7 linked regions of the Oryctolagus cuniculus genome follow. The protein of the gene in region 4 interacts with the protein of the main gene of each other region in a pairwise test. Links are inferred from orthologs where the notes say so. Each region holds a gene or a part of one and is shown on either strand. Other genes may lie near its edges. The genes, in order: CWF19L2, RHPN1, TTLL10, CEP70, PIMREG, SYTL4 and C6H1orf35.

Evidence for each region.
Region 1: the proteins of CEP70 (region 4) and CWF19L2 interact in binary tests that used the Homo sapiens proteins (3 or more experiments, as listed by UniProt). The link is inferred for Oryctolagus cuniculus from reciprocal best matches to the Homo sapiens genes CEP70 and CWF19L2.
Region 2: the proteins of CEP70 (region 4) and RHPN1 interact in binary tests that used the Homo sapiens proteins (3 or more experiments, as listed by UniProt). The two-hybrid records come from large-scale screens. The link is inferred for Oryctolagus cuniculus from reciprocal best matches to the Homo sapiens genes CEP70 and RHPN1.
Region 3: the proteins of CEP70 (region 4) and TTLL10 interact in binary tests that used the Homo sapiens proteins (3 or more experiments, as listed by UniProt). The two-hybrid records come from large-scale screens. The link is inferred for Oryctolagus cuniculus from reciprocal best matches to the Homo sapiens genes CEP70 and TTLL10.
Region 5: the proteins of CEP70 (region 4) and PIMREG interact in binary tests that used the Homo sapiens proteins (3 or more experiments, as listed by UniProt). The two-hybrid records come from large-scale screens. The link is inferred for Oryctolagus cuniculus from reciprocal best matches to the Homo sapiens genes CEP70 and PIMREG.
Region 6: the proteins of CEP70 (region 4) and SYTL4 interact in binary tests that used the Homo sapiens proteins (3 or more experiments, as listed by UniProt). The two-hybrid records come from large-scale screens. The link is inferred for Oryctolagus cuniculus from reciprocal best matches to the Homo sapiens genes CEP70 and SYTL4.
Region 7: the proteins of CEP70 (region 4) and C6H1orf35 interact in binary tests that used the Homo sapiens proteins (3 or more experiments, as listed by UniProt). The two-hybrid records come from large-scale screens. The link is inferred for Oryctolagus cuniculus from reciprocal best matches to the Homo sapiens genes CEP70 and C1orf35.

The regions. Positions count from the first base shown.
Region 1 is NC_091432.1:99,116,155-99,119,802, reverse strand, and holds part of CWF19L2 (CWF19-like protein 2), read left to right. Parts: intron 1-3,256; coding exon 3,257-3,373; intron 3,374-3,648.
Region 2 is NC_091437.1:167,368,115-167,372,556, reverse strand, and holds the start of RHPN1 (rhophilin-1), read right to left. Parts: upstream 2,820-4,442; 5' UTR 2,473-2,819; coding exon 2,392-2,472; intron 1-2,391. UniProt on the Homo sapiens protein: Has no enzymatic activity. May serve as a target for Rho, and interact with some cytoskeletal component upon Rho binding or relay a Rho signal to other molecules.
Region 3 is NC_091438.1:164,277,894-164,281,991, forward strand, and holds the start of TTLL10 (inactive polyglycylase TTLL10), read right to left. Parts: upstream 2,857-4,098; 5' UTR 2,693-2,856; coding exon 2,550-2,692; intron 1,113-2,549; exon of another isoform or gene 1,038-1,112; coding exon of another isoform or gene 1,027-1,037; intron 900-1,026; coding exon 475-899; intron 402-474; exon of another isoform or gene 207-401; intron 123-206; coding exon 51-122; intron 1-50. UniProt on the Homo sapiens protein: Inactive polyglycylase.
Region 4 is NC_091435.1:143,186,536-143,190,766, forward strand, and holds the start of CEP70 (centrosomal protein of 70 kDa), read left to right. Parts: upstream 1-1,369; 5' UTR 1,370-1,600; exon of another isoform or gene 1,601-2,532; intron 2,533-3,861; 5' UTR 3,862-3,922; coding exon 3,923-3,964; intron 3,965-4,231.
Region 5 is NC_091448.1:50,103,126-50,107,221, reverse strand, and holds the start of PIMREG (protein PIMREG), read left to right. Parts: upstream 1-1,221; 5' UTR 1,222-1,361; intron 1,362-1,781; 5' UTR 1,782-1,813; coding exon 1,814-2,092; intron 2,093-3,785; coding exon 3,786-4,078; intron 4,079-4,096. UniProt on the Homo sapiens protein: During mitosis, may play a role in the control of metaphase-to-anaphase transition.
Region 6 is NC_091453.1:91,980,740-91,985,101, forward strand, and holds the start of SYTL4 (synaptotagmin-like protein 4), read left to right. Parts: upstream 1-1,480; 5' UTR 1,481-1,627; intron 1,628-4,362. UniProt on the Homo sapiens protein: Modulates exocytosis of dense-core granules and secretion of hormones in the pancreas and the pituitary. Interacts with vesicles containing negatively charged phospholipids in a Ca(2+)-independent manner.
Region 7 is NC_091437.1:246,681-250,970, reverse strand, and holds the start of C6H1orf35 (multiple myeloma tumor-associated protein 2), read left to right. Parts: upstream 1-1,476; 5' UTR 1,477-1,577; coding exon 1,578-1,822; intron 1,823-1,908; coding exon 1,909-1,954; intron 1,955-2,057; coding exon 2,058-2,140; intron 2,141-2,234; coding exon 2,235-2,307; intron 2,308-2,445; coding exon 2,446-2,531; intron 2,532-3,101; coding exon 3,102-3,233; intron 3,234-3,328; coding exon 3,329-3,446; 3' UTR 3,447-4,290.

The sequences.
Region 1 (3,648 bases), on a different chromosome or scaffold from region 4:
ATGCCTCTGAGATATTTTAGTAAATTATGTATGATGGGAGGGAGCAAGAAATTTGAAGGTATAAATGAATGATGTTTCAGGAGGGGTATCAGTGTGTAAAAACGTATGAAGAAGAAATGATTGGCATTCATGGAGCAGTGAAAGAAAGTAGTGAGAAAGTGATAGTAGAAAAGATTAAATAGTGAATGCCAGTTTCAGGAGCTAATGAATTAGTGAATATATAGTGCATATTTATTATTATTATTTTAAAGATTTATTTATTTGAGAGGCAGAGTTACAGAGAGGCAGAGAGAGAGAGAGAGAGAGAGAGAGAAAGAGAAAGAGAAAGGGTCTTTCATCCCTTCCATCCAGTGGTTCACTCCCCAGATGGCTGCAACGGCCGGAGCTGGGCCGATCTGAAGCCTGGAGCCAGGAGTATCTTCTGGGTTTCCCACATGGGTGTAGGGGCCAAGGACTTGGGCCATCTTCCACTGCTTTCCCAGGCCACAGCAGAGAGCTGGAGTGGAGCAGCCAGGGCTCAAACTGGCGCCCATATGGGATGCTGGCACTGCAGGCGGTGGCATTTTTTGCTAAGCCACAGTGCCGGCCCTGTACATATTTTTATTTTTGTTGTTTATGTACATTTGCATTCATACATTATATGTAATCTTACTATCTTTAGATCATTAAAGCAGTCAGTTTATCAATTTGATTTCTTTTGCTTCATTTTTTACCCTTGTTTTTTTCAATTTTCTTTCACTCCATAAGTTATCTCAAAGGTAAATGTAAAAACTTCACTAAATATGTAACCAATTTTTAAAAAGGAAAAACCCATCTTAGCCAATTGCCTATATTAATTTTTTAAAGTTCTTTTTTTTTTTTGAATCTAATAAACCATTCTGTATTTTTCCTGTGTTCTAAAGGATGCTGCTTCAATAAACTTAGTAGTTTTAGAGAGATCATAACAATGTTTGCCCATATATAATATCCATATTCATAATTAATTTGATGATGATGTGTTGGTTTCATCCAAATGAACCTTGAAAATGTCAGTGAATTTTGGCTAAGATACCCAAGATGCATAGCATAGATTGTTGATTCAGAAAGTAAAACATACCTGAACTTACTGACTCATTGACATATTGTACCTTTTTTTTTTTTTAACTTTTATTTAATGAATATAAATTTCCAAAGTACGATTTATGGATTACAATGGCTTCCCCCACATACCGTCCCTCCCACCTACTACCCTCCCCTTTCCCACTCCCTCTCCCCTTCCATTCACATCAAGATTCATTTTCAATTATCTTAATATACAGAAGATCAGCTTAGTATACATTAAGTAAGGATTTCAACAGTTTGCTCCCACACAGAAACATAAAGTGAAAAATAATAGATGATTTTTTTTAAATGATGATGAAATCAGATCAGACCTATTGTCATGTTTAATCCCAGTGAGAGTCAAGTTGGGAGTTGATAATTTCTTTTTTCTTTTTTTTTTTTTTTTAACAGAGGATCAGTTTAGTATACATTAAGTAAAGATTTCAACAGTTTGCACCCCCATAGAAACACAAAGTGAAATATATTGTTTGAGTACTCGTTATAGCATTAAATCTCAATGCACAGCACATTAAGGACAGAGATCCTACATGAGGATTAAGTGCACAGTGACTCCTGTTGTTGACTTTACCAATTGACACTCCTGTCTATGGCATCAGTAGTCTCCCTATGCTCCAGTCATGAGTTTCCAAGGCTATGGAAGCCCTCTGAGTTCTCCGATTCTTATCTTGTTTAGACAAGGTCATAGTCAAAGTGGAGGTTCTCTCCTCCCTTCAGAGAAAGGTACCTCCTTCTTTGAAGACCTGTTCTTTCCCCTGGGATCTCACTCACAGAGATCTTTTGCCAGAGTGTCTTGGCTTTCCATGCCTGAAATACTCTCATGGGCTTTTCAGCCAGATCCGATTGCCTTTAGGGCTGATTCTAAGGCCAGAGTGCTATTTAGGACATCTGCCATTCTATGAGTCTGCTGAGTATCTCACTTCCCATGTTGGATCACTCTCCCCTTTATTTATTCCATCAGTTAGTGTTAGCAGGTACTAGACTTGTTTATCTGCTCCCTTTGACTCTTAGTCCTTTCATTATGATCAATTGTGAACTGAAATTGATCACTTGGAATAGTGAGATGGCATTGGTACATGCCACCTTGATGGGATTGAATTGGAATCCCCTGGTATGTTTTTAACTCTACCATTTGGGGCAAGTCAGCTTGAGCATGTCCCAAATTATACATCTCTTTTCAAGACTTTCATAATTTCCATATATATCACATATGTATTACTACCATATAGATCTCTCACATTTATATATATATTTTATATTTCTTTATTCTGTTCCATATAAGAATAAATTAAACCTCTAATAACACTTAAATTTTTCCTGTTGTGCACTGGGAAATGTTTGAGACTGTAGTCCAGTGGTGTTTCCCTGGGAACCAGCTTCCATATGGGATGCTGGCGTTACACGCTGGAGCTTTAAGTCCTGCGCCACAGTTCTGGTCCCTCCAGTATAAATTTAAGTAGCCACTCTTTCTTTGTTCACAGCAGAGTTTTAAAACTGCCCACTATTTTATAAAATAATTATCTGCCATATAAAATATTTCCAACTACAATTTAACAAAAATAATAGAAAAAACATCCTTTTGCAGGAAGTTATTTATGCTCCTTAGGAGATCTTTTGTCCATTCTCCTTTTTTAAAAGACAGTTTGTATTTAGTGGGAAAAGTAGCACCAGTTTTAAGTAATACATGTATGGAAATAAAAAGAGCTTAACTCGAGCAGTGAAGTCACCGTGAGATCATTTCCTCTCTCTTGGCTAGGTTTTCTTTTCTCAGCTTGTGAGAGGTAAAAGGTCTGATTAATAGTCCATCGATTAGAGCACTCTGCCATTACCAGGCCATGCCATGTATCTTTGTAGTCTTGTGAAACTGTGTTAAGGGCTTTCAAAGTATATACTTTCTTTAGATCAAGGATGTAGTATCATTTATTTTTCCTTCCTTGGATAATCTTTATATGTAGCAGTGAAAATTGCACTTATATTCTGAATTTCCAGTTTATTAAAAACCATTTTTATGGCTTTTAAAATAGTTATAAAAATTAAATCTTTTTTTAAAATAGTTATGATAAACGTTTTCTTCTAAGCAAGTGTACTGTGTTAATTATTAGCTACAAGTGTGAGTAAATTACAGTAGCATTTCAACTTTAAAATTTTTTCCCGATAGGTTTATTTGTGTTTACCCAACTTCCAGTCTCTTACTGAGGGGCACTGCCTGATAGTCCCTTTGCAGCACCATAGAGCAGCCACATTACTAGATGAGGACATCTGGGAGGAAATTCAGGTAAGCATGAAAATGTCATTGTCATTTTAAAGCCCATGAGCAGTTTTTATAAACTAGTGTGGTAGAGTCCAGCAGGGTCTGTATTTTCATTCAATAATTTTACCTTCTGATTTAAACATTTTTGTAGTTGTCTGTATCTGCAGATCATGTTTCCAGCGTTCACTATCTCTTAGTTTTATTTCCCATAAGTACTCTGCATTTTGAAAACTTTTGTTTCTAAACTGGAACACAATATGAATTATTTTTACATCAAAATGTTAGCCTAAGATTTCTGA
Region 2 (4,442 bases), on a different chromosome or scaffold from region 4:
TAGGGCAGTGCCCTCAGGGCCTGCAGGCGGCAGGTGCACAGCCCTGAGCTGGCCGTGAGCCCGGGCCAGCCCTGAAGGCACTCGGGCCCCTCCTGCGCTTCCTCCCAGCACTGCTGGGCGCCCGAGGTGGCGGAGCCTCACCTGAGCCAGCCAGGGTCTCCCCAGCCAGGTCACCAGCCAGCCCACGGCTGGCCTTGTACGGGGAGACGTGGGCTCACGGCTGGTTCAGGCCAGTTCAGACCCCCGGGCTCGGCCCCTCCCTGCAGGACCTCCCAGGGGCCCCACGGAAGCTCCTGTGCCGCCACCACCTCGGACCATGGCCCGAGCCGACCTCCAGGGCCAGCTCAAGAGGCGTGTCAGTCAGGGAAGGCTTCCCGGAGGAGGGCGCTGGGCTGGGCTGTGAAGGGCAGGGGCCTCCAGTCACCCTCTGGTCCCAGAGCAGACCTACCCGGGCAGACAGCGTGGACAAGGCCATGCCCAGCGCCCGCCCGCGCAGAAGGGGGCAGCCTGTCCTCGGGCGGGGCCGCCCCGGGGAGAGGGGCCGTCACAGCCAAGGCTATTGGCCCCAGCCCAGCGGTCCTGCTGCAGTTCCTGTGGGTTCCAGGGGCTCGGGCCACCAGCCCCGCCGAGACGGGCGCTGGGCATGGCCCCGGCCACAGGGCTGCCCTCCTGGGCGCGGCGGCCACTGTCCCTCCCCTCCCTGCAGGCACCAACCGGCCTGAGTGGCCCCTGCAGGAGCGGGGGCCCCTGACACCACAGTGCCCGTCCCTGCCCTGCACTGGGAGAGGACAGATGGACCATGGTCCCCGGGTGTCCCCACAGGGGTGTGTGTGTGTGGACAACACGGACACAAACACGCCACACCCCTGCTGCTCGGCCCAGGCCCAGCCCCAGCGCAGGGACCGCCGGGCAGCCGGCAGGAAAGTGTGGGCGGAGGTCAGGCAGCACCAGCCCCAGCCCCCACCCCAGCCCGGTCGGCTCTGGCCAGAGCCCTGCCCCCGCAGGCCCCGGCCCTGAGGCCCGCCCAAGGCAGAGGGAGCCTGGGGCGGTGGAAACCCTCTCTCTGCCACCACGCGGGAGGGGACAGGGCATGGGTGTGGCCACGGGGGTCCCGGGGGTGCAGTGGCTGTGGGATCCCCCACAGGGCGGGTGTCTCGGGTTCCTGAGTTCCTCCAGGCAGGTCCCACTCTCGCAGCCTGGCCTAGCTGGGCCACGTCTGGAGTTTCTCAGTTTAAACATTTATTTATTTATTTGAAAGTGTGGAGAGAGAGAGAGAGAGGTCCTCCGTCCACCGGCTTACTCCCTAAATGCCCCCACAGCAGGGGCTGGGCCAGGCTGGAGCGAGGTGCCTGGGAGTCCACAGCCGGGTCTCCCACGTGGGTGCAGGAGCCAGGCACTGGGCCGTCTGCTGCTGCCCAGGGGCATCAGCAGGGGCGAGGCCAGGAGCAGAGCCGCGTAACCCGCTGTGCCCCAGTGCCTGTCCCCGACCCAAGAATCTGTGTGCCCAGGGAGCGCTGGCGTGCAGTCAGGCGGAGGAACCTTGGACTGACCTGCTGGTGACTGCAGACCCCCCGGGGGCCACAGCCCATCGCCCCGGTCTGCGGGGACTGCCTGGGCTGAGCCACCTCACCCAGGGCCCCCGGCCGGCCTGCCCGCCCGGTCATCCCAGGGTGTGGTCAGGACGCAGCGGCCAGCGAAGCCACTGCAGACGGCTCCTGCCCCGTGTCCAGGCTGGCAACCAGCACGGGGCACGGCCAGCGCTCCCCCTGCCGGCCACCCGCAGCCGTGGCGGCCGCCGAGCGGAGACGCACCTGTGGCGCACAGGGACTGGGCCCTCGGGGGCTCTGGTCAGCACCGCCTGGCCACTTGCGTGCCTGCAGCCCAAGCCCCGGCTGACGCCCTCCCAGAAGACCGGAGCCCCAGACAAGGAAGCTGACCGGAGCCAGCCCAGGGGCCCGGCACAGCCCGACGTCCTGGGACTGCGCGCGACCGAGAGCCCCCGGGCCGGGGCGGCGTCTCCCGGGGCCGCGCGGCAAGCAAGCAGCGGACGCTGTCCCAGGCGGCCTCAACAGGTCTCCGCCCCAGCACACACACCGGCGTCCGGGCTACGGGCTTGGGAGGGTCGGCGAGGAGGCGCGGGGACCAACAGCCCAGCTGCGGTGACCCCACGGGACACCCAGCTCCGGGGGGGGGGGGGGCAGGGCGCGGCTCAACGCCCGGGGAGCGGGTCGGGCCGGGTCACAGGCCTGAGCCCACACCTGCCCGAGGGCTGTGGCTCCCAACAGGGAGGCCGCCGGGCCTCAGCTTCCCGCAGCGCCAAGGCCAGGACCGAGAGACCTACCCGGGGGGGAAAGGGTGGGTCCGGGACCCCCACCCAGTCCCCAAGCCCACCTGGCCGCCGCTGCCGGCCGCCTGCAGCCGGCCGATGTCTTCGCCGGCGCCAGGGCCTTCCGGCTTCTCCTCCAGGATCATCGCCGCTCCCGGGAGCCGGTCCCGCTTTCGGAGACCCGCACCCGGCCGCAGCCACACGCGCCGCGGACAGAGCTCTCCCCGGGAGCGGGCGGCTCCGGCGTGCGAAACTTGCCTTTGCCCAATCGGTGGCGGCCGCCGCTTGACGGACGGCAATACCGACCAACCAGAGAACAAAAGAGGCGGGCTCCCGGAGGCCAGCCCCCATCCCGCTCGGCCCGCGGAGTCCCGGGGAACTCGGTTACCCTGGCAACCGCGGACAATGCGCAGGCGCCGCGGGACAGGGAAACCCCGCGTCGCGGTGGGCGCGGAGGTCGGGTCCCGGCCGCTGGCGCCTGTGCGGGACGTCTCGCCGTTGCCCCGGCAACGGGACCCTCTAGGGGACGGTGAGCGGTGGGGACTTAAAACGGTTTTGTCGGCGGACAATGCCTGCTTTCTTTAGGGCGCGCCGCGCGCAGTGAGGCTTCCAGAACCTTCCATAGCCGCCCCTGCGCGCCCGGGCCTCTGATCGCTGGGGCCTGCGGGTCCCGCTCGGGTCCTGCGGGGGCGCTCGGGGGCGCGGTGCGGGCGGCCAGACCCGGCCGAGCGGGCAGGCCCCGACCATGGCCCGCCCGCGTCCGAGCCCCGCGGGCTCGCAGGCCTCCCGCACGGCTCTCTCCTCACGCCCCCTGGCCAGGGCGCATCCTTCCCCGGTGGCCTTGGGGGCCCCTTGCACCCTCCGCCTGACTCGCACCGGCCGCGAGGGACCCTCGGCCAGCGCCCCATGCCGCCTGTGGTCCAGGCGCCGCCGCCTTTGTGCGGGGCTTCCACGCGGGTCGTCTCGGCCCTCTGTGCCCGCGCGGAGACCCCAGCGCTCTCAGCAGCCCTCAGGGTCGCCCGTGTGCCCAGGAGGCCTGGGCAGTGCCTGGGAGATGTGACGGGGGTGACCAGGTTGGGCCGGGGGGCGCGCTGGCAGCTGGCCGCTGGCCCCTGGGCCGGCAGGACCCCCGGGTTTCAAGCATCTGCGGATTCCTTTGGATGAGCCCCGCCACCATGGCTGACCCTAGGCTGACCCCTGGACGCGGGGACACGACCGGGCCAGAGTGTGTGGCCCGAGGGGCGCTCCTGGGCGGCTGGGGCAGCCTGTAGGGGGGGACCGTGTGGCCCAGCAGGTGGACAGGGCGACCTGCGGTCTGAGCGCGCTGGGAGGAGACTCCAACGGCGGGTAGGAGGCGCGGGCCGCGCGCCTGAAAAGTGCTGGCCGATCGGGCCGCGCCAGCCCCCTGCCCCTGCACTGACCTGGGCCCTGGGGGCTTCAGGTAGCCAGGTCTGTCCCTCGGCCACCAGGGCTGCTGCCCGGGACGCGCGCATTCCAGATCCCGCTTTGGGTGCAGCTTCCTGCTGGGAGGTGCGTGGGCGGCAGCCGAGCGTGGCCGGCGGTGTTGCACCCACGTGGGAGAGCCGGCTGGTGGCGCCCAGCCCCTGGCTGTTGTGGGCATCTGGGGCGTGAAGGTCAGTTGGGAGATTCTCTGTCGCTCTGCCTTCCACATAATAAATAAATCCGTAAGAGGAAGAAGGCAAGCAACACCCCCGGGGCAGGAGGGGCAGCTGCGGGGTGGGCAGTCCTGTGAACCCCGCTAGGCTGCCGCTGGGGGGCTGGGGCTGCTGCTGGGCCGTGCACGGGACCCCGCGATGCCAGTGCACTCGCCGCTGGCTTCTTAGCAAACCACCACCCACAAGTCCCAGTGAAACTGCTCGGGATCCGGAGCCCTCTCCCAGTAGGGGCTGAGTTAACAGGCACTTAAGTCGCCTAAAAGGGAAGTGGAGAGAGGAGCTGAGCGAGGGCTTCAGTGGGAAGCCTGTGCCTGTGCCTGTGCCTGTGCCTGTGCCGTGGGGCACCACAGGAGGTTTAGCCCCGGGGTTCCGAAGCTTCTGGGCTGGGGGAGCCACTCCCCTCAATGCGGCGTCCCACAGCGGCGCTGGTCCCTGTCTCG
Region 3 (4,098 bases), on a different chromosome or scaffold from region 4:
GCCGCTATGCGGCCAGGACCCCTGGACCTCCCAGCCCTGGCAGCCCCCACCTGCGTCTTGGCCCTGCGTGGGCAGGAGCCCCTTGTCTCGGCCGCTGCCCATCCGTCTCCCAGGGGCCCAGCCTGTGCAGGGGCGGATCTGGTGGGTGGGGGGCACCCGTCTGTCGGGCCAAGCCCAGCCCACGACCAGCTGCACCGGGCTCTCACCCCAGCCCCTGCCTCATTGCGGCTTGCAACTGACCAGAGCCTGAGGGTGATAGTGACAGGAGCAGGCAGGGCTGGGGAGTGAGGCGGAGTGGGGGCACACACAGCGCCGGGGCCTGCCTGGAGGGCCGGGGTCACAATGTCCATGATGATGTCATGAGTGACCCAAAGGCCGCTGTCAGGCTGGGGCTGTGGGGTGGCATGGGGTGGGGTGGGGGCCCTCCCGGGACTGACTGGGAGGCCCTTGGCCATGAGGCTGCCTAGCGGTCACCTGGTGCCCTGGCCCGGCACCGGCACAGCCTGGACCGCCTCTTCCTCTTGGCGCTGAGCTGGGCCCGCGTGGACGGTCTCCGGCAGTGGATGAACCGGGTGTGGCTGCGGCCGGCTGGCTTGGGGGCACCGGGCCGAGAGCCCCGCTGGGAAGACGGGACCCCCACTCTCCTGCGGGATCTCTGGGCAGCCCGCGGGACCAGCCTCTGGACAGGGCGCAACGTGGGGCCCCCCCTGCCAGGGGAAAGGCGTCTCCCAGGGGGCTGGGTGGGGGCCTCCCCCCGGGGCCGGCTCCCAACCCCACGGTGGCTGTGGGGCCGGGCGGCCCGTGCTGCCGCGGTGCCCTCCGAGTCGGATCTCTGCGGGGCGAGCCCTGCCTTGCCCGGCCCGTCCATCTGGCCTTGAGGAGCGCGGTCTGGCTGTCGGCTGCAAGGAGGCCGTGGTCAGGGGTTGGAGGACCGGGGCATCCTGAGCGGCACCCCGCCTGCTACTGCCGTCCCTGTGGCTGCCTGGCCCCACGGCCCGACCCCTGGATCTGGTCCCCAGGTGCCACCTTTGCAGCATGTCAGGGAACCTGTGGCCACTTCCTGGCCTGCGAGTCCATGGGTGGCCTGCTGGGGGAGAGGACTTTCTGCAGGTCTGAAAGAAAGCAAGCAGTGGGGATGCTGGGGCGGCTGGGAGGGGCCTGGGTGCTGCTCCCGAGTGAATCCCTGGGCAGCCAGCGGATGCCTGCCCAATGGCGGTGATGCAGGTGCCCGTGGCCTCTGCCCCAGAGTGGCAGCGAAGGAGCTGCCCGGCTCCAGGCACTGGGAGGATGGGGCCAGGCCTGGAGCAGCCAGAACCGAGGCTGGCAGGCACCCAGGGCAGGGTGGGGGCGCGGGCAGAAGCTAGGAGCTCCCCACACAGGAGGGCCGGGTGTGGACGCTGGACCTGGCCTGCAGGGCCTGACGATGGGGCAGCAGATCAGTTAGACCCCCCCAGCACCCTGCTCCGAAGAGTCCTTCTGGGGCGCTGGGACCCCCAAGACGCCGCTGAGCAGTGCCCAGAGCCCAGGCTTCTTAGGGAGGAGTTCCAAGTGGGAGCCGCAGAATGACACGGACACAGCTGGACACATGCGGGGGCACACAGGGACACAGGCACATGTGGACACACGGGCACTCACAGACGTGTACAGACACGTATGCGTAGACACGCTTGGACAGACACTCAGACACAAGCACACAGAGACACAGGCACGGACACAAGTGGACCTGCCCTGATATGCAGGGACACACACAGAGAGGTGTGGAGGAAGATGGGCGGAGGTGGGCGTCATGGATGCTGATGGAGGGGTGAGCTGGGAGGGTGCGGGCAGGGCTGCTCCCCCAGGCTCCAGCTGGGCACTGTGAACACGGGAACAGTGAGGAGTAACCAGCAGGGTCCTGTCCAGGAGGTTGTGCAAAGGGGCCCCCCGGGACAGGAAGGGCCCAGTTCCAGCCCCGCCCAGGGGCCTGCGAGCACTGTGGGGGTGTCGCGAGGTGTGGCCGGAGGGAGGCCGCAGGAGGGTCCTGGTCAGAACCCTGGAATTGTGCACCTGGTGGGGGCAGCCGAGGTGGGGGGAGGCCGCGGGAGGGGTGGGCGGGGCTTCGAGAGGCGACGTCGCGGGAGGGGCGGAGCGGGAGCGGGGCCTCGGGAGGGCCTCCGTGCTGGGGCTGAGCCCCGCCTGCAGGTGCAGATCTGGGGCTTCGGCAGGCGCCTGCAATAGGCAGGCGGGAGGAGGAGGGTCCAGGGGTGAGGGCTCTGGAGGCCTAGGTTCGCGCTGGCCGCGGCCGGAGGAGCCCCAGGCAGCCTCGGCTCTTCCGTCGCTCGCACGCCAGGTTCCTGAGTGGACTGCATGGCTACTTCCTGTACGCACTGTGAGCAGCGCCACCAGGCGGAGGACGCAGGGGCCCAAGGGTCAGGAGCCCCAGGCGCCGCTGCCCCGGAGGCCACGCCAGCCTGAAACCACCCGGTGTGGTTCGCGGGGGCGAGGCCTGGCCCTGCGGGGGGCGCCGTGGACCTGCTGCCCAGCCGGCGGGGCAAACTCTAGGTTTTTACCTGGTGAGACGGGCGGGCAGGAGGCCGCCCCCTGGGAAGGGACACGCGAAGTATTCCCAGACCTGGGAACAAGTGACCAGAGACCGCGCACGGATCAGCCTCTGCCCGCACACTGCCGCGGGCTCTGAGGAGCTGCCGTGCATGGAAGCCGGCGCCTTCTGGCCAGGGACTGCGAGAGACACGGGGCCCGCGGACTTCAGGGAGACAGGAGGCAGGTGGTCCTGAGAGTGCCCAGCCCAGCCGCCCCACCCCCTCCCTGTCCACTCCCCTCCCCCGCCGGCCTTCTGCTTCAGGCAGGGGCCCAGGTCTGGTGGCCGAGGGGGGCGCAGGAGCGCAGGTGCAGACTGGCGGCCGGCCTGTCCCTCTTACCTGCCTGGCGAGGTCGTGAGAGCCCTCTGCTGGACACAACAGTGGCGACCTGGCAACTGTCTCCCAGCAATGGTTACCTGGCAACCGTGATCCAGCAGAGCCCTGCGGGTTTTAGGTGGACTGGGCAGGGGTCTCTAACCCTTGGGTGCACCCCCACTGCTGGGGTCATGACCTCTGACCCTCACCTGGTTCTTCTGTTGTCCTCATGACCCTCCAGGGTGACCCCGAGAGGTCCTCCGTCCACTGGTTCAGTCTTCAAATGTCTGAAGCCAGGAGCCTGGAGCTCCATCGGGTCCTAACCACTAGGCCAAACGCTCACACCAAGAGTGCTTTTATTTATTTATTTATTTATTATTTTTTCTGACAGGCAGAGTTAGACAGTGAGAGAGAGAGACAGAGAGAAAGGTCTTCCTTTTTCCATTGGTTCACCCCCGAAGTGGCCACCATGGCCGGCACGTTGCAGCAGGTGCGCTGCGCCGATCCGAAGCCAGGAGCCAGGTGCTTCTCCTGGTCTCCCATGGGGTGCAAGGCCCAAGGACCTGGGCCATCCTCCACTGCACTCCTGGGCCACATGCCTGGAAGAGGGGCAACCGGGACAGAATCCAGCGCCCCAACCGGGACGAGAACCCGGTGTGCTAGCGCCGCAGGCGGAGGATTAGCCTAGTGAGCCACGGCGCCGGCCAAGAGATTCTCTTTCAAATAAATGAGAGAGAGAGCACTTCCATTGGCTGGTTCACAACTCAGATGGCTGTGCCTGCCGGGGCTTGGCCAAGTGGAAACAGAGCCTGGAGCTCCTTCTGGGTCTCCCACACAGTGTGGGGCCAAGCACTTGGGCCATCCTCAGCTGCTTTCCCAGGCATGTTAGCAGGGAGCTGGACAGGAAGTGGAGCAGCTGGGACTCGAACCGGCACCCACATGGGATGGCAGCGTCGCAGGTGGGGTCTTATAAGCGCCTGCGCCAGAACACTGGCCCCGTGTGTGATTTCTCTGTAGCAGCTTTTCCTGGCAGCCCCAGGAAATGAACCTCCCCTGGAACCCATCCTCGCCCCGAGGGTACCCCCCACTCCTCCCCACGTGGAGTCTCACCTGCTGGCCGGGGTCCACAGGGGTCCACAGGGCTCCATCCGTCCCACTGAGAGTCCTGCCTGGAAGAGGGACCACCAAGCCAGGGCTGGGGTTC
Region 4 (4,231 bases):
CTAAAAACCCTAACGACCTTACCGTAGGGGCCGCCGATCCAGCCCAGCTGCGCCTGGTGCAGATGTCCAACCAAACTTGAGTTTGAAATTAAACTCTTGCGTTTGCATGAGTGTCGGCTCCTGGTGGTCTTCACTGGTGGGAATCGGTACAACACTTGCACATCGGAATCACCTGGGGAGCTTTACAAACTCTGGATGCCTGGGTCCCCACCTGGAGATCCTGGTGTGATTGTCTGGCGGCCCCTGCATCCGGAGTTTCCCAAGCTCCCCAGGTGATTTTCTTTTTTAAAAGTCTGGCAAGGGGGCCGACGCCACGGCTCACTAGGCTAATCCTCCGCCTTGCAGCGCCAGCACAGCGGGTTCTAGTCCAGGTCGGGGCGCCGGATTCTGTCCCGGTTGCCCCTCTTCCAGGCCAGCTCTCTGCTGTGGCCAGGGAGTGCAGTGGAGGATGGCCCAAGTGCTTGGGCCCTGCACCCCATGGGAGACCAGGATAAGTACCTGGCTCCTGCCATTGGATCAGCGCGGTGCGCCGGCCACGGCGGCCATTGGAGGGTGAACCAACGGCAAAGGAAGACCTTTCTCTCTGTCTCACTGTCCACTCTGCCTGTAAAAAAAAAAAAAAAAAAAAAAAAAAAGTCTGGCAAGGAAGTCGATTGGTCACCGTGAATAAACACCATGAACAGAAGAACTCAAGACATCTCCAAATTTTGGCCCTGGGATTCCAAGGAGAATGACAGGGAGAAGGGGCAAGCCGGAACTAGTGTTTCTAGCTGGAGACCTTTCTGATGGTTCAAACACAAGCCTGAGGCTTCAGAAAGTTTACTGCAGCGCAGGAATAGCTTCCATTAAAAAAAGAGGGGGGGGCGAAATCACACAAAAATCCCGCCACAAAGCCACGAGACACCTGGGATCCCACGGCCACACTGACTGGAAAACCAAGTGTGAGCCCTGATTGCCAGATGCTACGCAGCCCAAGACCCAGTCTCTACAGGGCCCTGGAAAACCACCGTTGTCCCTCAGCGTCCACATCTCTGCATTTTACGGAGCCCGATGTAGGGCCAGACACTTCGTGGCCACCGGGAAAACGCCCAAAGGGAGGGTGAAACGCCAGCCGCTCCGAGGCTCCCCCAGGTCCGGAGCTTCGACACGCCGGCTGCTCCCCCAGCAGGAGCTCGCGGTCCTGGCGAGGGTCCTGCGCAGTGGCCAGGTGCTCCGAGCCTCATTTTCACCTGCGGCCACATATTTGCATATCTGAAATCTCCTGGGGAACCGAGGCCCTCCGTAAGCGAGAGCCCCAGCCAGCGAGAGGCCGTAGAGCGCGACTGAAACGTCAGCGGGCCTATGACAGCCCGCGGTGGTGGTAAGCCCCGCCCCCAGCAGCCGGAGCCAACCAGGGGGCGCGCGGCGGACCCAGCCTCCTCGAGAGGCCGGAGATAATCGCTCAGAAAGTTCCGAGGCAGAGCAGAGGTTTGACCTCGACCCGCTCGGGCTCGATTGGCCAACCTCCACTGGCGTCGGTAACGGTCGCGGAGGCGGGGCCGGAGGCGGTGGAGCGGAGCCAGGCAGGGCCGGGCCGGGCCGGGCCGGGCGGCCGAGGAAGGTGAGTGGCGCTCGGGACTCGGCCTGTGGGCGCCGAGCGTTGCCGGGCGCCCCGGGTGGAGCGGGCTGGGACCGGCTCCAGCAGGCTGTGTGAGGGTTTGGGGATTGGTTAAACCTGCTTCGAGCCCCGGCCCCCCAGCCTTTGTGGTCTTCGGCGTCTCCGTTTGCTCCTGTGTGCAGTCTGCTGCCTTCCAGGGCGGCTGTGGGGGCTAGACGAGGCAGGCAGTGCGGAGCTCAGACTCGGACCCGGCTAGATCAGACTAGACCCTGGCCGAGTCGGCGAAGGGCGGACGGGCGCTGACCGCCGCGGCCCTCGGCGTCCCGGAGTGGGGCAGGTGTCGGCGGAGGGTGCCGGGGACACACGGAGGCGCGTAGCCCGCCTTCTCCGGTTGTCGGGCGCATTCTGGATCCGGGGTGCGCAGGGGATTCTGACTTCACGTGGAGCCTCATGTGATTCTTAAAGGGTGAAAAATCCCCCGAGCTGAGGCACTTGTAACAGTAACGCTTGTAACAGACCAGTCAGCAAGGGTTTCTCATCATAATGTTTGACGCCGTGCAGCCACTGCCCGTGTTGGTCTCAGCCCTCTGCGTGCATTTGTTTTTGTTTTTACTTTGAGTATTGCCAAGCAGAGCAGGCCGCCTCCGCTCCGCTTTTTGGGTACGAGGCGGCTGATTTGGAGTTTCACTGACGGGGTTGCTTCAGAGCGGGGGAGGAGGGTGTTCTGGCCCTCCTTGTAACCTCGCCGGCACAGGATGGTTTGGTTGAGGTGACGTCCGGGCCCAATGGTGGTGGATTCAGTTCGTCCTTTGGAACGTTGGCCTATCTTCGGACTAGTTTGCATTTCATGGAGAACACAGACTTGGAAAGCCGTGCGTGTTCATTTGTTGGAGTGATTTGGAATACGTCCTTCGGAGAAAGTTTATAGATTTTCGGTATGACTCACTTGAGAAAGAAATTACTGGCCATGATCTGTTATTTCCAGCTCTCTTCCCCCCGCCCCCCAAATGGCGAGAAAAATAAGTTTTTTAAGGTTTGATGCATGTTAGGCTATATTATAAGGGACCATTTGACCCAAAAGATTGTTGGGAAACCTGGACAGTGCTGGAAGATACAACTGTGTTTTTGCTTTTCTGTGTTTGGCTATTTTTTTAATGGTTTTTTTTTAATTTATTTTCACTTTATTTATTTGAAAGGCAGAGAAACAGTTTTCATCAGCCGGTTCACTCCCAAATATTCGCAACACTTGGGGCTGGGAGTCAGGTACTCAGTTCAGGTGTTCTGCTTGCGTACCAGGGACCTGATACTTGAGCTAGAACCTGCTGCCTCCCAGTGTGTGTGTGCTAGCAAGAAGCTGGCATAGGTAGGAAAGCCAGCACGTGAACCTGGGCACTCTGCTGTGGGATGCAGGTATGGTAACTGCTGAGCCAAATGCCTGTCCCCTGCTTGTCTGTATGCCAAGTGCAAACCAACTCTCAGCCCCCAAACCTTACTCCTACAGCCTGCCTTTAGTTGTGTTGTGACACTGAGTAGAGCTACAGCCTCGCTTCTGCCCCAGGGAGAGTTTAGTCTCTTCTGTGACTTTCAGCGTTCTGGACTTTTCTCCTCTAACAGCCTGCAGTGGGGAAAAGGCTGCTGCAAACTATCACCACGTTTATTTCACAGACTGGTGTAGGCTGATCCTGCAAGGCCCGCACTGGTGACGGTGCTCTTGACAAGACGCACTCAAGACCAGTTTCTGTGAACATGTCTATTAACGATGAAGCATAAGCTTTTAAAGGGCAGGCAGAGGGGGCGTAGCTAATTCAGGGCAACACTATAGGATAGATCTGATATTGGCGCCACTATGCTTCTCCAATCAGCTTGAAGGTCACATAGCCTAGTAGCCTACCAGGTGGTCCTTATGGGTCTGGGGCACACCCAGGAGTTGTTTACCTATTTGACCCTTTACAAGGTCCTTCACCTGGGAGCAGGGGTCAGGGAAATGTGCCCGGGAGGCATGGTGTGCCATGCCCTCCTAACCTCCTGCTTGGGGTAGGCAGGCAGTCTTCCAGCCAGGCACAGGATCACCCACAAGGGAGAAGAGGAGGGAGGAGGCTTATGATGGTGAGCCAGGAAGGCCATCAGCGCTTACTGTGGCTGTTGGAGTTTCAGCTTAGGGCTTTCCGGCACCATGGACGCTGCGCTGGGAGTAACACAAGACCTTTCTCACTAAGAGGTTGAACTTTCCAAGAGGTTGATCCGTTAATCTTTTTGAACCCTAGATGAAGATCTAGTTTCGCACATGAGACTCACTGGCCGATCGTTTCATTAAGATCATCTTGGATGAGCAGGTGTGACGTGCAGGAGGAAAGAGCTATGGCTGAGGTATGTCTGCCGCAACCGGTGATTCTAGATGTTAGGAGGCCGTGGGAAACATGGACCTGATGTGTACTAAATACTATACTAAACACATTGGGTATACTTCCTTTTGACTCCTGATAATCCTATCAGGTACATATTTTAAACTCAGGCCAAGTAACTGCTTAGATGATTAGCTGTCCTGGACTCTCCTAACCCCTGTCCTGCCTCGTGCCAGGCAGTGCTCTGTTTATTAATTCCTAATCCTCACAAAACCATGTGAACTAATTACTG
Region 5 (4,096 bases), on a different chromosome or scaffold from region 4:
AGGGGCACGCCCCTTGTGTTGACCTCTGCAGCCCTTGTTCAGCATGGTGCCTGAGCGTGGGCAGGCGGGGCGGCGGAGGCCGAGCCTGTGCACACCTCAGTAGGACCTGGGGAATACATGGGAGAAAGAACGTGGGGTGGGGAGGAGGAGGATCGTGGGAGAGAGCAGGTGAGTCAGCTAGGGCGTGCTGGCCTTCCCGGCCTGGGGCACCAGGAGGGTGGGGCCTGAGTGTTGGGTGAGAGGCCCAGGCTGGGGGGGGGGGGGGGACAGCGCAGCGTGAGGGTCAGGCACAGGGACCCGGCTCCAGAGGGATGGCGTTCGGCTCAGGGAGTGAAACATGGGCCCCTCCCCCACCTCTCTGTGCCTCAGTTTCCTCCTCCCTCTGCAGGGAGGCCAGGTGAGGGCCCGAGGCTTCTGTGCTGCAGGCGAGTTAGGCACTGTGCTCACCGTGGGCGGTGGTCGCTGCTGAGACCACCGGAAATGAGGCAGAGGCCTGAAGACAGTGCTTGGAGGAGGCGGGGCGCGGGGGGGGGGGCAATCTGCAGCACCCACAGGGAGCCAGCGGCGGGCAGTGATGCTTTGAGGTCTCCTAGGGACGGGCTGGTAATGGGGAGAGCTTTACAGATGGCGGGAGTCTGAGCTTGTGTGGATGCGAGGGGAGGGGTCGGGGTCTCCCGACTTAGGATGGCGAGGCCGGGGCAGGGGGCATGAGCAGGAAGGCAATGGGGGTGGGGGGCGGCAGGAGGGCAGGGGCAGGAGGACAGGTAGGCAGGGCAGAGGGGCAGGTGTGCTCCCGTCTGTCCCCGCTCCCAGGTTGTTTGATGGGGAGTGTGGAGCCTGTCTCAGGAGGGAGGGGTCTGCACCCGCATTCCCCAGCTCTTTAGAACAAAATCGCTGAGCGAGAAAGAACAGGCCACACCCCCTGGCAGGAGGGGCAGGGTCCCTGGAAGACCAGGGATGCTGCAGGCTGAGTGCCCTCCCAGTGCCCGGGACCCCAGGGGTCGCAAACGCCTGAGCCCCTTACAGGCTCTAGGAAGGGGGCTCGGGCGTGAGGCATGGACCGCGCGCCGCTGCCTGGGGCCGAGCACACGGGATGGGGCTGCGGACCCGGCAAAGGCGTGGGCAGGCGGGGCGGCGGAGGCCGAGCCAGGCGGGGGTCTCGAGCGATGAACAGGAGCTGGATTTGCAGCCGTGGGGGAAGGCGACCAATCGGAGGCCCGGAGCCGTGGCCAAGGCAGTATCTCGGAACCAATCATCTCTGAGGACAGGCCCGGGGCGGGGCCGCGCGGAGTTTGAAATCCGCAGCGGTGGGCGAGAGACCCGCTGTACTCGGATCGGATCGGCGCCTGGGGTGATCGCAGGTCGGGCCCCGGGGGGGCTGCTGTTCGGGATGGGGGAGGGGTCTGCCCAGGCCGGACACGGACGTGGGGAGCATCCAAGGGAAATCGGGCTGTCCGGGGGGCGGCCGCGGTGTAGGTGGGAGCGCGCCGGGTCAGGGCCGCGTTTTGAGACCCGTAGAGCCCCTGCCTGTCTTCGGCTCGAGGCCTCGGGCCCAGGGACGCCGGGGCCGAAAGGACAGCCCATGGAGAGAATCCAGGCCCAGGCGGCGGGAGTCCGCGGACTTCCCCTTGCGGGAAACACCCCCCTTTCCAGCACCCACAGCTACGAGGGCCCCACCCCACAGGCCTCCATCCTGTCTCCCTCCCCGGGCCTAGGAGCCCTGCGGAGCCTGGAAGGGGGCCAGCGATGCCCGCTGACCTGCCCTCGGCCCTCCTCCCCAGGGCGCGGTGAACAGAGGCGGCACAGCCAGCAGATGGCCTGTCGGTGGTCGGTGCGCCGGAGATCGCTGCTGGAGGAGGAGCAGCCGGAGGAGGAAACCACCACGCCGGCCGCAGCCGGCCAGCAGGATGCGTCCGCGGGGGCCCTGGGCTCCCTACGCAGACAGTTCCAAAGAAGGCTGCCCCTGAGAGCGGTCAGCCTCAACCTTGGGGCGGGCCCTTCATGGAAACGCCTGGGAACTCCGGAACCAGAGCAGCAAGGCCTCCAGGCGGCAGCTCGATCAGCCAAGAGCGCCCTGGGGGCCATGTCTCAGGTAACAGTGGCTGTGCTGTCCAGCTCCATGGACCCTCAGTGCTGGATAGAGCCCACCTCCAGGAGCCCCTGGAGAGTCTAGACTCCACCTGACAGGGACTTTGCACCTCTAAGAATTGCTAGCATAGAGTGGGCATTCAACAAATAGCTGAATGGTGCGGAGAAACGGAGGGAACAGGTGCTCATGATACAAGGGGTGAGAGCCATGTGTCAGCCAGTAGGGATGGTGAGGGGACGGCCAGTGAAGCCCCCCCCAACCCCCCCAGCAGGTGGCTCCATGGAGAATCAATGGGAAAAGGCAAGCACAGCTGGAATGGTGTGAATCCCACCGAGACCCAGGGACGGGGGTGTGGGCAAGGATTGTGTCTGGGTGTGGCCAGAGGAAGGGGGGGCTCTGATGTGTGTGGACCCCCAGGAGCAACCAGAAGAGGGAAGGATTCCAGACGGACGGGAAGTCTGCTCAGCTTAGTGTCGGGAACTTTCTCTTGAGCTGCCTGATGAAAAGGGTGGTGGGGCAGACACACCCGCGGGAGCCTGGGATCCTGGGTGCTGGACTCGCCCAAGGGAGAGCCGCTAACTTCAGGAGCTCCTCGGAAGGTAGACCCCCAAGAACCCGGTGTCAGATGAGACGGGCTGGCACCACGTCATGACGTACACTGGTGTGAGGTGCCCAAGGGCCTTCCGCCTGGAGCTGGGAGCATTCCGAGATGTCCCGAGGAGGGAAGGAGCCAGGGCAGCCATTTGGCCCCGTGATTAGGCTGCATCCCGTATCCAAGGGCCCAGGTTCAAGTCCTGACTCCCGATTGCAGCATCCCACTAAGGCAGACCCAGGGAGGCAGCCGGTGAGACCTCAGATGGTTGAGTCCCTGCCGCCCACATGGGAGACTGGGATGGAATTCCTGGCTCCTGACTTTGGCCCCTGGCCATTAAGGGCATCTCGGGAGTGAACCAGCAGGTAGGGCTCCATCTGTCTCTTTTTGCCTCTCCAATTACAACAGAAGAAAGGACAGAGCCATGGTAGCAGCCAGCCGTAGGAGGAGAGGGCTGGATGCCCCACTGGGCGCTCTGAAGGTGTGGGGAGAGGGCTGCTCCTTCAAGCCCTCCACAGACAGCTCTCTGGGCCCAGCCCATTAGTAAGAACCCTGAAATTGTTCCCACTGCCCCGGGCACAGGAGAGGTAGAGGGAGGTATCTTATCCAAGGCCACATGACATGGAATTTAGCTTGGGGCATGCACCAGCCCTCCCGCCTCTGGCATGCCACGGCATTCAAGGTCTTCACAGCCATCACCCACTGCCGTGATAGGCCTGAGAGTTCGGGCTTGTTCCTCTGAGCAATAAGGAGCCACAGGAGGGTTTCGAGGGGCCAAGCGTCCCGGGCAGAGCTGCCCTTTGGGCCAGCATGGAGGACAGATGGGAGTGGACAAGCGAGAGCAAAGGCAGGGAGACAGGTTTCCTCAAGAGGATGTGGGCTTAGACAACTGGAGTTCTATGAGCCAGGGCAATCCTCCCGTGATCGACCCCTGGGGGTGTGTCTTGGGTGGGGGAGCTCCATTTCCCATCCCTCAGGCTCGAGACTGAAAGCAGCCTGCAAGTACGGGACAAGTGGGAGGCCAAGGCTTGGAGGGAAGGCCGGGAGTGGCAGGTGACGCACCTGGGTTTCACGCATGCTCACCTTGCCTTGTAACTGTCACAGAGGATCCAGGAGTCCTGCCAGAGTGGCACCAAGTGGCTGGTGGAGACGCAGGTGAAAGCCAGGAGGAGGAGGAGAGGGGCGCAGACGGGTGATGGCTCCCCCCCGCACACCCTGAGCCAGAAGAGCACCCGGCTGTCGAGCACCACCCACCCAGCGCTGGGCTCCCGGGAGCGGGGGTATCGCCGCCTCTCGGCCCAGACAGGCCCCCGTGCCCACCTGCTGCGGCGGCCAAGGAGGGATGCTGCCTTCCAGAGGAGCCCCTACTCTTCCACAGAGCCCCTCTGCTCTCCCAGGCAAGTGGGGCTGCGCAT
Region 6 (4,362 bases), on a different chromosome or scaffold from region 4:
TTTTTTAAAAAAGATTTATTTACTTATTTGAAAGTCAGAGTTACAGAGAGGAAGGGAGATCTTCCATCTGCTGGTTCATTCCCTAGATTACTGTGATGGGACTGGCCCAGGCCAAAGCCTGAGAGCCAGGAGCTTCTTCTGGGTCTTCCATGTGAGTGGCAGAGCCCCAAGTACTGGAGTCATCTTGTGCTTTTTCCAGGCGCACTAACAGGGAGCTGGATTGGAAGCGGAGCAGCTGGAACTCCACCCAGCATCCATATGGGATGCCAGCGTGGCAGGCGGCAGTTTTACCTGCTATGCCACAGCACCAGTCCTGGCAGGATACGTTTTTTAAGATAGTAAAGAGCATGTTTAATTGCTGATGACAATTGAGAGAGACTTCAGCAAGTTTAATGGCTGATATGAAGAAGGGAGGGAGGAGGGCAAGGGGGCATCTGCAATTCTTAAACAGATATAAACATTTCAGAATCTATTGATATAGATTGTTCACATGGTTTCTAAAAGATTTTATTATTATTATTATTATTATTATTATTTTATTTGACATATGGAGTTAGTTAGAGAGAGAGAGACAGAGAGAAAGGTCTTCTTTCCATTGGTTCACCCCCGAAATGGCCGCTACGGCTGGAGCTGCGCCGATCTGAAGCCAGGAGCCAGATGCTTCCTCCTGGTCTCCCTTGCGGGTGCAGGGGCCAAAGCACTTGGGCCATCCTCCCCTGCCCTCTTGGGCTACAGCAGAGAGCTGGACTGGAAGAGGAGCGACTGGGACTAGAACCGGTGCCCAGATGGGATGCCGGCGCCATAGGCGGAGGATTAACCAAGTGAGCCTCGGCACCGGCCCCTCTAAAAGATTTTTAAACAACATACACTCCTACCAGCAATTATGAGAGAACTTGTTTGGTGGACACTTTGTCATCCTTAAGTGTTATTGAAAAAAATAAAAACCTCTTTGCTAAAGATTCTCATTATTGTTATAATTTACTCTTTGATTACCAGTGAGTCGATATTTTAACTGGTTGTGTTCTTTGAGTGTGCAGGTGTGAGTTAAGTCTGTGTCCTCTGCTCAAAACACTTCTGTTGTGGGTAAACACTGTTTTCTATAAAAAGTAAAAAGTCAAAGGATCAGAACAGTGTCATATGTTATCTTCCCAAATCACATAGTTTAGACTTCTTCTTGCAAGTACGTGACAGCTTGACAACTTTTGGCTCAGCTGAACAGAAGTAGGTGATTTTTACCATCTAAAGAGAGTGACCACAGATGGAAGTGAACGGCGCTGGGGACACGGGGTGTGTGTTGGCGGGATACATATACTCTTAGATCCCTATCCTCAGTCCCCAAATTCTCTTTTCTAACCTGGGAGGACATCCCTTCAGTGCGTTAAGGTTTTGGCTGCCGCAGCTCGCCTTTGGATTGGGCGACCCCTACTAAGGAGCTCAAGCGCTGTGCGGCCCCTTTAAGAGTCCAGCTCCTCCCCGCTCCAGGGAAAGTTGCAGCTTTTTCCGCCTGCCGGAGAGTGAGAAGGGCCGGCCGCAGAGTGGGCTTGAGATCTTCTCGGAGCCGGAGACCCCTCCCTGACTCTGGTCCTGGGACGTCTAGTCTTCTCGCGGCACCTGTTGCTGGTGACAGGTAGGGCCGCAGCTAGCGGCTGCCCGCCCTCTTGCTCTCGCTCTGGGACTCTTTTTGGTCCCATCCCCTTTTCACTGCTAAAGCGCTCCCACCCCCTTTTCGAGCACCTGCGCCCTTCCCTACCCCTTTTAGCTCTCCAGGTCTTTACTGCTGTCTCGCTGACGGTCAGTCCCCTTTCCTCTGCCTGCCTCTCTGGACCGCACCCCTACGCCTGGACGCCGTCTGCTTGGGGCGGTCCCTCCCTGCCACTTTTCTTTCTCCCGGGCTTCTTCTGGCCCGTTCCATGGCCCACGCGTCGTTAACGCGGACTGTGGCCATCTGGGCACTGTTCCCTCTCTGTCACCCCTCTTGCGGAGTCCCCAGCTTTTCCCGCCAGCCGGAGCCCAGGTTCCTCCAGAGAGCTGGCCCTGGGGGCGGGGGTGGGGCTGGGCTCCTAGCAGGGACGCACCCTCCGCGGCGGCCCGTCACGTTTCCGTCGGTTCCTCTCGCGCTGTCCCTTCACCTCGGACCTGGCGGCGTTGGCTGCCTTGGCCTGCCTGCCACAGTGAGGCCGGTTGGCCCAGAGTGCTGCCTCAGTGGGCTCCCCCTGCACTTGAGGCTGGGCTGCTTTCTTTGTGGCCCTTCAAGCAGGCCATGGGAGTTTACTCCTGCAGCAGGGTCCCCAGAGCGCTCAGAAGAGGCGCAGGATGCTTGTGTCTTCTGTGTTGGTTTGTAAAGGGACAAGAAAAAGTGTTCCTTTAGCCCTCAACATTGGATGGGATGGGGTTTTCGGGTTTGAAATCATTGGGTTAGAATTTTAGTGGCTTGAAAAAGTGGTGTTTTTATGAACCAACCAGTTTCCCCAAACCCTTGCTTTTTCAGGGCCAGAGGACCTTAGCATTCTCGAATAATGCTTTAGGCAGGGCTGACCTCGGAGACCTTGGACATGTGTGGCAGAAATTAGTCTTCAGTACATTTAGGACCTCCTGTTTTTAACTGGATTTTTTCTGCTCTTTCACCTCCCTACTCCCACCTCTCATAAATCCATTAATATCAAGAGGTTAATGACCTAAAATGTTTACCCTACTGTGGAGGGAACAGTGGTTTAATGCAGAGTTGTGGCCCTGATGGTGTTCTGGTTTTCTGTTTGGTTTTTTAATCATCAGCTGGAGATCCTAGTAGAAAAAGCCCATGAACTTGGCTTGGGTGACTTTTGTTTTGTTTTTGAGAGGTGACAGAATTTCAGGTATCTCTCTCTAGGTCAGAGCAGTGAAGTGGAGCTTTGAAGCCCTGTTCTGGGGTGAGTGGTGTGTGAGTGAATGAGACATTCTGCTTGATGCTCTCTGAGCTTTTCCCTTTAATGACTGCTACTAATAGTGGCTATTAAGAGTCTGCTGAGCTAGGCACTGTGATAAGTTCTTTGTGTAATTGTCTCATACAGTCCTCATGATAACTCTGTGCAGCACGCACTACACGTATAACCATGTTAGGATGAAAAGAAGACTCTGAGAGGGTAAGCGCCTTGGCCCAAATCACCCAACTGAGGGGGTCAGAGCTTGTGTTTCTATCCTATCACACCATATCTATTATCTCAGATGTTAGGAACACTAAATAGCTTGTACATGAGCACTAACTTATGAAGAACTTCCCTCCCAAGCTGAGACATAAGTTTGGATCCTTGATTTCACCTTAGATACACTGCATAGAATCTGGACCACTTTCCTCACTGATATCTTACCCACTTCATTTCCAACATGGGGCCAGCTGCCACGTTGCCACTATAAGCACCCCACTCCTGGAATGTACCCGGATGAAAGAAACCTCCTGGGCTGTTAGCTCAGGGCAGTTGTCCTGAAATTAGCAGAGAGTAACCCTGGAATCCAGGGGTATGTGCCAGACTACTTCTTCCCTACTGGCAAAAAGAGAGAATTGAGGACATGGTAAGTGATAAGGATTTCCCAACAGCCAGGCCAGAGAGCCTGAGGGTGATGGTGTGCTTTTTGTTATAGGATGGATGGAATATGTAGGCTGGGAGAGGGGGAGAAAATAAAAATCTCCTCTCTGATCCCACCTCTGGGACTTTGCTCAAATTGTCTCCCCCCCTTTTTTTTTCCTGAAAAGCCAACTTGCCACCCCTACCTGTTAATTCTTAGTCATCTGTCAACATTTAACTCTAAAGTCGCCTCCTTTGGAACAGCCTTACGTGCACTTTACTTTTGTCAAGAGGAATTACTAGTTATCCTGTGTCCTAAAGCACTTCTTGTTACACCTCAGTAAAGCCCTTACCATCACTCTTGCCTGTTTTTCCACCTGGAAGGTTGTAACCTCTCTAAGAGCAAGCTCTGGATCTTGGAGTTCCCTTTGTCTTAAACATAAAAGACTAACAAACATTCATTCTGGAAATGGAGGTAGTCATGCCTTTCAGGGGCTGAGGTCTGGTGATGGTGGAATGGAAGCACAGAATGTGATACAGTTTCCAGATCCGATCAGCAGGACTTCCTGATAAATTGAGTGTGAGGAGTAAAAGGGAGAAAACAAGGGTGACCCTTGTTTTTGGTCTGAGCAACTGAATGGCCGATGACATCATTTTACTGAGACAGGGGAGGTTGAGGAAAAACCTGAGGCATGCGAGAGTAGTCAGAAATCTCGTTTTGACCATGTTATATTTGAGATGTCTATTTGATAGACAAGTAGAAATGTGAAATGTCCCTGAATATATGAAGCTGTGGCTTAGAAGAAAGGCATAGATCAAAGAC
Region 7 (4,290 bases), on a different chromosome or scaffold from region 4:
GTATTTTTATTGATTTTTCCTGATTTATTTGAGAGCAAGCAAGAGTGTGTGTGTTCACTCCCCACATGCCCGCAGGGAGCCATGCACTCCACACAGGGCTCCCTTGTAGGGGGCAGCAACCCAATTACTTGAGAATTCCAGAAGTGCACTGACTTGTCTTCCCTGACACTGAGTCACAGGCTCAGAGTGACGACAGCGACCCAGGGCCAGCTCTGAGCAGCTTCTTGGTTGCTCTGGACTTTCTTGTTAGTAATGTTACAGCAGTTTAAGGCACACACTTAAACGAGTTTATGGGGCCAGCACTGTGGTTAAGCACAGGTTAAGCCTCTGCCTGTGACAGCAACATTCCATATGGCTATCGGTTCGAGTCCCAGCTGCTCCTCTTCAGTCCAACTCTGCTGCGGCCTACGAGAGCAGTGGAAGATGGCTCAAGTGCTCGGGCCCTTGCACCCACGTGGGAGACCCTGAAGAAACTCCTGGCTCCTGATCCGCGCAGCTCCAGCCGTTGTGGACATTTGGGGAGTGAACCAGTGGATGGAAGACCTCTTTGTGTCTCCCTCTGTCTGTAACGCTGCCTCTCAAATAAATAAATAAATAAATCTCTTAATTTTTTATGTGATAGAACGGGGCGGAGCGGAGGGCGACAGAGAGAGAAAGCAGGAGCCCTCCATCTGCTGGTTCACTCCCCCAAACACCCGCAGCAGCCGGGGCGGGGCGGCAGCCGCAAGCGGGTGCCCCGCGCCGCGGCCAGCAGCGAGCTGGCGGGAGCGCGGCGCCAGGCCGAGCAGTCGCCGGGCTGCTCACAGCCCGCTGGCCTGCCACCTGACCCTGTCTGGGGGCTAGGGGTCTGCGGGCCCCCAGACGCTGCTGGAACGCCTCGTGCAGAATGGCTGCGAGGCCGGCCTCCGCTTCAACTTAGCTGAGCCCCCTACGGGGAATCAGGCTGTCTCCGAGAGACCCCTGCTATTGGCATGCAGTATGTGGAACCCGGTCCAATGGGCACCCCCACAGAAAGACCCAACGAAGACAGCAAAGCCTTAAAACCGTGTGCACTTCCCGAAAGCCTTGCAAAACGGGAAGCAAACTTCCCACTTCTTTGCAAGCTGTTCCAGCTTATTTCCATACTAAGCTGAGGAAAAGAACCCACCAAACTCGCTCCGGTAACCGCTGTCCCCTCCCGCGACGCCCAGCGGCTGCGGGGAGAGCGCGGCCTGGGGGGCAGGGGCCCTCGCCGGAGCCGCACCCGGAACCTGGTCCTCCTGGGTCTGTATCGCAGCGATCGGCGGGGACTTCAGGCAGCGGCCCCGCGCCCACCCGGGCTCCACAGCCCCTCCAGCGCCCGCTCGGCGACGGGGCACTGCGCAGGCGCGGGGGCCCAGTCGGGCGGTGCCTGCGTCGGTGCTCGCTGCGAGGTGGGTGGTGGTGCGCAGGCGCGCGGGGCCGGGCCGGGGCGTGACGCGCTGGCAGGTGCGACGCCCCGGGGCCCGGCGCAGGCGTGACGTCGCGGCGCGGCTAGGCGCGGCGACAGGCCAGAAGCCGGCGACAGTCATCGGGGCCCGTGCGGCGGCACTGTAGCCATGTTCGGGTCCAGCCGCGGCGGGGTGCGCGGCGGGCAGGACCAGTTCAACTGGGAGGACGTGAAGACCGACAAGCAGCGGGAGAACTACCTGGGCAACTCGCTGATGGCGCCGGTGGGCCGCTGGCAGAAGGGCCGCGACCTCACCTGGTACGCCAAGGGCCGGGAGCCGCGCGCAGGACCCAGCCGCGAGGAGGAGCTGGCGGCCGTGCGGGAGGCGGAGCGCGAGGCGCTGCTGGCCGCGCTGTGAGTGTCCCCGGGGGCGGCGGAGGGCGCGGGCGGAGGGCGCGGGCGGTCGACGGCGCCCTGACGGTGCCCCGGCCCTCTCGCAGAGGCTACAAGAACGTGAAGAAGCAGCCCACCGGCCTGAGCAAAGAGGTAACCGCAGGCGGGGGCTGAGCTGGGGGCCGAAACGGGGGTCGCGGGGGCGGGGGCCGGGCGGCGCCGGGCCCTCTCTCCCGGCCCTGTGCGCACCCCGCAGGACTTCGTGGAGATCTGCAAGCGGGAAGCCGGCGACCCGGAGGAGAAGGGCGTGGATCGGCTGCTGGGGCTGGGCAGCGCCAGGTGCGGCAGTCCCGGGGAGGAGGAGCCGGGTGCCCAGCGGGGAGCAGGGTCCGGGCGGTGATCCAGGGGCGTCCTCACCTCCGTGTCCCCGCAGTGGCTCCGCGGGCCGAGTGGCGCTGTCCCGGGAGGACAAAGAGGCTGCCAAGCTGGGGCTGTCGGTGTTCACGGTAACCTCTTTGCCCCAGCCCGAACGCGCTGGGGTCCTCGGGGCGGCGGGGGGGGGGGATGGGGGACGCCCAGGGCGGGTCTCCCCGAGGCGTGGGGTCAACCTGCGCGCCCTCGCCAAAGCGCCGCTTCCCCCGCAGCACCACCGCGTGGAGAATGGCGGGCGGGGGACCTCGCCGGCCTCAGCCAGGAGGAAACCGCGCGCCGAGGACAAGGCGGAGCCTGAGTAAGGGGCATTCGTGAGCCGGAGTTCCAGGGGTGTGTGTGTGTAGTAGGGGCGGGGGTGCAGCTCGGGATTTCTTCCCACAGACGTGTGCTCAGAGACGGCACCCACGAAAGGGCCAGGATTGGTTGGCCTTGAGCCCCTCTTTGGGCTGCCCTCGGCGGGCGAGCAGGGCCGGTCTCCATCTCCAGGCTGAATGTGCCTGCCGAGAGGGGTTGGGGTCAGGACAGCTGCTGAGCTGGGGTGAGGCGCAGGCAATGGCGCCTGGCCCTGGCTAGCTTGGGGGGAGGCAGAGCTGAGTCACTGCTGGATCTGCTGGGGAGTTTTTCTGCCACAGTGAGGGTGCGGCTGCTGGCCACACGTGACCGCCCAGCACTTTGAGATGTGGTCTGTTTGGCTGAGGGGCTGACCAGGACCAAGCATGAAGAGGCCGCTACGTTGGTGGCTGCCGCCCTGGACAGCACAAGCGTGTCCATCTTCCTCCCCTGGCCGGGACAGAACTGGCCGCCTGTGCTTGCTGTCTCCTGTCTCCCGAGGGCTGGGGCTGAGGCCCTTTCTGCACCCCCCTTGCAGCTCTGAGAGCCACAGGAAAAGCAAGAAAGAGAAGAAGAGAAAGAAAAAGAAGAAACACAAGAAACAAAAGAAGAAAGACAAGGAGCACAGGAGAGGGGCCACTTCCTCTTCCTCGTCCCCATCCCCTGCTCGGTAGGGCAGCCCAGGGGGAGGGGGACTGGAGCTGGGCTAGATGGGCAGCTGCCGCACGCTGGGTCCTTTCTGAGTGACCATCCCTGTCTGCCCAGGCCTGAACCCCGCCAGCGTGACTGCAACTCCCCCTGCTGCAAGAAGAGGCGGTGTGACAGCAGGGACAGTGGGAGGAGCCCTTCCCGCCAGCGGCACGCCAGAGACTCTGATGCCTGAGACCCTGCCTTGGAGGCCTGTGCAGGTCCCGGGGGCACCCCCCTCAGGGTGCCCTTCCTGTCCAGGTCGAGGCAGAGGGACCCTAGCCTTGCCTGCTGGGCTTCAGGAGCAGGGGCCTGTTTTGTGAACTTCCTCCAGGTCCCAGTGAAGGGAGACTGCGAGCCCAGGGTGTCCCTGTGGCCCTGCCTCAGCCCCCGGCCCTCCCAGCACAGGGGAGCCTGTATTCCAGGACAGGTCTCTTCTCTGTCCTGTCTCCCTCTGCAGCCTCCCCAGGCCGGCCCTCCCGAGGCTGTAGCTATGGCTGAGTGTGGCTACTTCTATTTTTCTTTACATCAGTTTTGTACTTCAGTTTATATTAAAAGCAGAGTGTATCATCACAGAATGGAAGGTGGCCCCAGCACCTGTCCTTCCTGTCCAGGGCCCTGGTGACCGCTAACACCCTAAGGGAGCCCCTCGTGCTCCCACGTGGCCAGGGTAGAACCGTGGGAGGACCCCCCCAGAGGGACGACAGTGTCGGGGCAGCTTGGGAGTGGGGGGCCTGCAGGGAGCCAAAGGCCCCCAGGGCCCACCTGCCTGCCTGCTCACCTGTGGAGGTGCTGTTGGGCAGGACTGCTTCTGGGGACATGAAGGTGCTGGCACTTGTAGGTGTGGACAGACAGCCCAGCCTGTGCTCCCGTGTGTGTGCTTGTGCACACAGGAAACCTTTCCTGTGAGGATGGGGTTAAGATCCAGACCACACCCCTAACCCTCTGCAGGTCCTCACCCTGCAGGTGGCCAGCCAGAGCTGAGACTGTGCTCAGGTGAAGGCAGGCAGGGACACCTGGCCAGGGCGGTGGCCCACAGA